2 linked regions of the Nothobranchius furzeri genome follow. The protein of the gene in region 1 interacts with the protein of each later gene in a biochemical or structural test. Links are inferred from orthologs where the notes say so. Each region holds a gene or a part of one and is shown in the gene's direction. Other genes may lie near its edges.

Region 1 (2,406 bases):
GGTCTACTGCAGTGTGAGCACTTGCTTCCCACGCTGAACCGACTCTTCAGGCTGACTGAACCTAACGGGGGGGGGGGGGGGGGGTGTCTCTGCCTCTGGTTGTCAAAAGTGCTGTTTGTGCAGGTAGCAGTCATCCACCTACTGCAAAACCAGCACTTCAGGTAAACAAGCAGGCAATGTGCTGCACACCACCGTCCACAAGGGGGCACTCTCAGCAGCAGGGATGTCGCACGATCACAGCTGCTCTTCAGTTTAGTATTCATGTTCTGTTTGATACAAAGAAATGTACAAGTGGGATTGATTGTTTCTAATCCTGGTCAGCTTTGCAGGGTGGGCAGTCAGCCTGTGTGCATTAGGACCAGCTGTGCAAACCCATGCAAAACTGACTATGACGAGAACTGTCAACACAAGCTTCTACATGTAGAGTAGATTGAAAAGACTCATTCATCTCGTGTGGTTTAGTTTTTAACCTGTGGAGAGACTAGCTGGTTTTGAGAGGCGGAGACTTGAGCAATTGCCGGCCATTCCAGAGGGCATTGCACTTGTCTCGGTCTGACAGTGCCGGCACATCGCAGCCTACCTTCTTACATGACTCCAGTCGGATATTTGTGTGTGTTTATGTACAACTGCCATCATCACCACACTTTGTCCATGCCTGCCATCAGGCCCGGCTTCGCATGATGGACACTGTGGAGAAGGAGGATGTGAACGAGGCTATGCGGCTGATGGAGATGTCGAAGGACTCGCTGCAGGCTGACAAATCCAGCACCACCAGGTTAGTGTGTGTGTGTGTGTGTGTGTGTGTGGGGGGGGGGTCATCTAGGCACCCTGAGCCTAACACGAGGGAACCGGATGTTAAACCCAGAATTCCCTTTTATGGGTTTCTTGTGTTTGCTGAATATGCAGTAGCTGCTCTGCAGGAAGCTGTAAAACATGACTGGTGTTTTATAGAGCTTGGTTCACACGGCAGCATGTTCACTTTGGTCATTAGTTGGTGCTTCAAGCAGCAGGCCTTCCATGCACAAAACTCTTCTGTTTTTTTTTATTTGGAAAACAAACTTTTCTTGGCAGTTTGGTTCCTAATGCCTCTAATCAGCGTCTGATTGGTTTGTCCTGATTCTGACCTCCTCCCTTGCAGGGCGCAGCGTCCAGCTGATGTCATCTTCTCTCTGGTGCGGGAGCTCGCCACTGAGGGCACGATCGGCCGTGGCGGGGCAGGCGGTGTGGTTCGCATGTCTGAAGCTGAGCAGCGTTGCATCTCTCGTGGCTTCACGCCCGCTCAGTTCCAGGAGGCTCTGGAGGAGTATGAGGAGTTAAATGTGTGGCAGATCAACCAGGCCCGCAGCCGCATCACCTTCGTATGAACACACCTGGACACGCTTCGCCCCAGCCATCGACTAGAGCTCTCTTTATTTCTGCATCATGTCTTTTGTAACCCAAGTTGGGCAGAACGCAGACTTCCTCTCAATACCTGGACATGATGAAAAATCCTGTTCCTGACTGGTTTCCTGTTAATTAATGGATTTCTTGTAAATATTTGTCAGAGCACATCATTGTGTAACCCTCCCACTGTCCTAATGGGTGTGAGGTCCACGTGGCAGGGGTGAGGACTGAGCACCACCTCACCCCTGCCACATGGACCCAAGGGATAAACCATCAACCCTGCTTAATGGTCAACTTTCTTCGCGGGGTCACACCCATTAGGACAGTGGGAAGGTTAATCTGCAGTTCAGTGGGGTAAAGCATCAGTTTATCAGTGAGAGTTCTTGTACATTGTGTTTGTAATGAGATGTTGATGTTGAACCTTGTATTAGTTATAATAAATGCTTCAGTAATAAACATCACTGTCAGTTTGGCTCCTGGTGTCATGAGAAGTTGTAATAAAAATGAACTTGTCATCTGTTGTATAATTGCTTTATATAAGTTATTGATCACTACTGTTTGTCAATCACACTTATCATGAGGATGTAATCAAGGGTAATCATGGTGGAGGTGTGCAGCTTTGCACGCACATCAGGGAATGTATAAGGAGCAGAGCAGAGCTCAGGGGGTTAGAGCTGCTTGAAGGATTCTACCTGACGAGGTTCATGGATTACATGTGTTCAGTTCTTCACCTATCATGGATTACGTTTTCTAACTGGGGTGTTCAGCTCTCCACCCATAAGCAACGGTAAGAGAAATGTTTCGTTCATGATTGATAACTTGTATGAATGCCGGTTAAATAAAGCCTTGTTGTTCATCTGATATTCAAGTTGTGTTTCATTGTTTCTGGCGTCGACTTGACAACGATCCTGATTAAATAAATATAAAGTGTAAAAAGAGACTTTGAGTCTTTTAAGGTAATTAAAATAAAATAAAACATTTTATTTTAGGACAGAAGTGTCTGAACATCTGGTTTGGTGGTGC
Region 2 (2,922 bases), on another chromosome or scaffold:
CTCCGCAGGTAACATTTACCGTACCTAGCAACAGTCACGGCGATTGGGCGTAAAGCTACCCTGAAATGTATGAATTGCCTCCTATCGCCAGGAGATTGCACGCTGCCACTTTAACATGGGAGTCGGTGAGGGTTTCCCTTAGCCTGGCAGGCCAGACTAAATAAATGTATTATGTAGTCTGGCCACGCTCCACTGACGGCTCTCGGTTGTGGGGCGGGTTCTACTGTTGTCTTTCAAATGATCTCTGCATGCCACTGGACAATGATTGTGACATACTCACCGCAACAGCTATCGGTAAATGAGGCGGTCCGCAGTTGAAGAAGGGGAAAACACATCATTTTTTCTAAAAAAGCTCTTAAATACATCTATCTGCTCCTGATTCTGATGAAGCCAGAGTTCTAATAGTCCAACATGGATGTAAAAGCCGTTTCAAACGAGCTGTCGCCATCTTGTTTCCCTCTGTTGCATCATCCCACCCACCAGGCATATAGAGTGCCCTGATTGGCCCACAAAGCAGATAAAGCTCTGTCATTTGTTCACTAAGCAGATAGAGCACTATGATTGGCCCACCATTATGGACCAATCACAGCTCTTTGTGTTTGAAACCCCTCTAGAGAGCTGTGATTGGCCAGCCAGAATGCTGTTGGGGCTGCAGAGGTTCCAGTGGAGCGTTCCTAGACCAGTTTGGTCTAGTTCGCTAGGCTAAGTTTGCCCTGCTTTAGATCCAGCCCCTTGTGGATGAGTGTGGAACTGCAACTTTGTCACTTCTGTGTTGGCTTCATAGATTAAAATAAGCGATTTCCCGTTGTTCCGAACACACCGCTCGAGTAACGAAGCGGTGGCGTAAGCATTTCAGGGTCCTGGAGTGGCCTAGCCAGTCTCCAGATCTCAGCTCCACAGGAAATCTTTACTGGGAGTTGGGCCCAGCGACAGACCCAAACATCACTGCTCTAGAGGAGATCTGCATGGAGGAATGGGCCAAAATACCAGCAACAGTGTGTGGAGACTCAGAGAACGTTTAACCCATGTCATCGCCAACAAAGGGTGTACAACGGCGTACTGAAATGGACTTTTGTTCCTCACCAAATACTTTTTTCCAACATAATTTGCAAATAATTTCTTTAAAATCAGACGATGTTATTTCCTGGATGCTTTTTCTCATGTTGTCTCTCATAGTTGAGGTATAGCCATGATGAAAGTTCATCTTCATCAGAGGGAGAACGCGTAGCTGGAGGCTTTGCCCCACTGTAGTCTCTGAATACAAACCTAGCATGGTGTTGTTGGGGTTCAGGATCCAGATCCATGTTGGAACTTGTTGTTTCAGGGAAGGCGGTGGTGTGCAGTCGGGAGCTTCCTCGTCAGGACCTCAGAGCCCTGTGTGAGATGCTTAGAGGCAGGAGGTCAACGCTAGAGGGTGATGATGATGATGTCACCCCAGCTGCAGAGGTCAACGTGGGTCAGAGTTGGCGTCAGACTGGAGATGGGACTCCTGCCTCTCAAGCCGCTGACCGGACACGCAAAGATGGATCAGGAGAACAATCAACCTGCAGTAAAACAGCTGGTCCCACAACACGGCCCAGCGACGAGGAAGGAGACCAGCGGGGCTGGGACAACGTTCCTGATGAGGCCTACGACCTCCTGGATCAGCTGCTGGACCTGAACCCTTCAACCAGAATCACAGCCGCTGCTGCGCTGCAGCACCCGCTTTTCAAGGACCTGTGAGACCAGAACGAGCTCCAGGAGCTGCTCCGTAACCTCGTTCACCATGAACTTCCTTCAGTCCTTCACAATACGCCTCAAACACATCAGACGTGTGAAGCCGATCATTTAGTTTACTATAACGGTCGTTCCCCGGCGAAAGTCCTGGTGCCGTCTAGAGATTTGGGATTGAGAGGAATCACAAATGAAGCCGTCATGCCTGGGCGAGTGGTGACCTTTTGGTTCAGACCTCCTCTGGGAAGGACTTCGGACTTCCTGGACGTTCAGGCTGCAGCAGAAGTTTGACCAGAATAAACTAAAAGCTTCTGATGCTTTTAGGTATGTGAGACCGTTTTAGACTCTTATTGTGAAGGATTGGAGGAAGTTCTTTAATGTCCTGATGAAGAAGTCAGTTCTGGGTGTGTTTTACTGAGCGGGCCACACCAGAACCAGTCAGCTAACGAAAGGCTCAGTGGCCCGGACAGACCAGCGCAGAGGTCTACGTGAAGTAGCTCCTTGATGTCTGAAAGCAGGAAGTTACTCAACAGCTGATGGACGAGGTTCTAAAGGTGTGAAAGGACTTTTATTTTGAAGGGGGACTGAGTTTTAACAGTGAGAACCGGATGAAATGTCCACGTTGTGTAAAAGACCACATCAGAATGTTTGTTTGGTGGTAATAAAGTTGTGATTTGAGTCAGATGTTTATTTTATATCACAGGAGGCAACATTTCTCATCATAAACCTGAAAAGTACGCAGCGCCACAAGCTGCAGGTCCTCTGGTGGTCTACACGCCGTCCTTCACCTCGGTGAGCTCCTCGACGCGCACCAACACACTCTCAATCATGTCGAAGGTGTGGAGGGCAGAGTGCAGCGCCTGAAAGAAGCCGTTTTCACTAACATCACCGTGACTGCTCGTGTCTGAGGAGGAAAACACCGACCTGAATCTGAGAGTCCGGCGTCATGCGGGGAAGCTTCTCCTCTCCGACAGAGACCGACAGAACCGAGCGGTCTGTGAAAAACAAACGGTGTCACAAGATGTCTGGGCTAAAAGCCCCGCTCTGGAGTCTGGCCTGACCTTTGGCCTTCTTCTTGCCCTCCCGGGTATCCTGAAGCTCCCTCTCATAGTGGGCTCTGGACATGTTCAGCCCCACGCGTAGAGGTTTCATGAAGGTGTCTTCTATCTTATACAGCTCAGTCCAGATGCCCGTCTGAGGGAGGACAAA

What was found.
Region 2: of the proteins of mcm7 (region 1) and cdc7, one has a biochemical effect on the other in vitro, tested with the Homo sapiens proteins (2 studies listed by BioGRID). The link is inferred for Nothobranchius furzeri from reciprocal best matches to the Homo sapiens genes MCM7 and CDC7.

Annotation. Positions count from the first base shown.
Region 1 is NC_091741.1:79,979,048-79,981,453, forward strand, and holds the end of mcm7 (DNA replication licensing factor MCM7), read left to right. Parts: intron 1-665; coding exon 666-775; intron 776-1,138; coding exon 1,139-1,364; 3' UTR 1,365-1,898; downstream 1,899-2,406. Other genes in the region: and3 (actinodin3), read left to right, coding at 2,088-2,170. UniProt on the Homo sapiens protein: Acts as a component of the MCM2-7 complex (MCM complex) which is the replicative helicase essential for 'once per cell cycle' DNA replication initiation and elongation in eukaryotic cells.
Region 2 is NC_091751.1:71,613,077-71,615,998, forward strand, and holds the end of cdc7 (cell division cycle 7-related protein kinase), read left to right. Parts: intron 1-1,324; coding exon 1,325-1,722; 3' UTR 1,723-2,391; downstream 2,392-2,922. Other genes in the region: glmna (glomulin, FKBP associated protein a), read right to left, coding at 2,484-2,573, 2,638-2,708, 2,775-2,907. UniProt on the Homo sapiens protein: Kinase involved in initiation of DNA replication. Phosphorylates critical substrates that regulate the G1/S phase transition and initiation of DNA replication, such as MCM proteins and CLASPIN.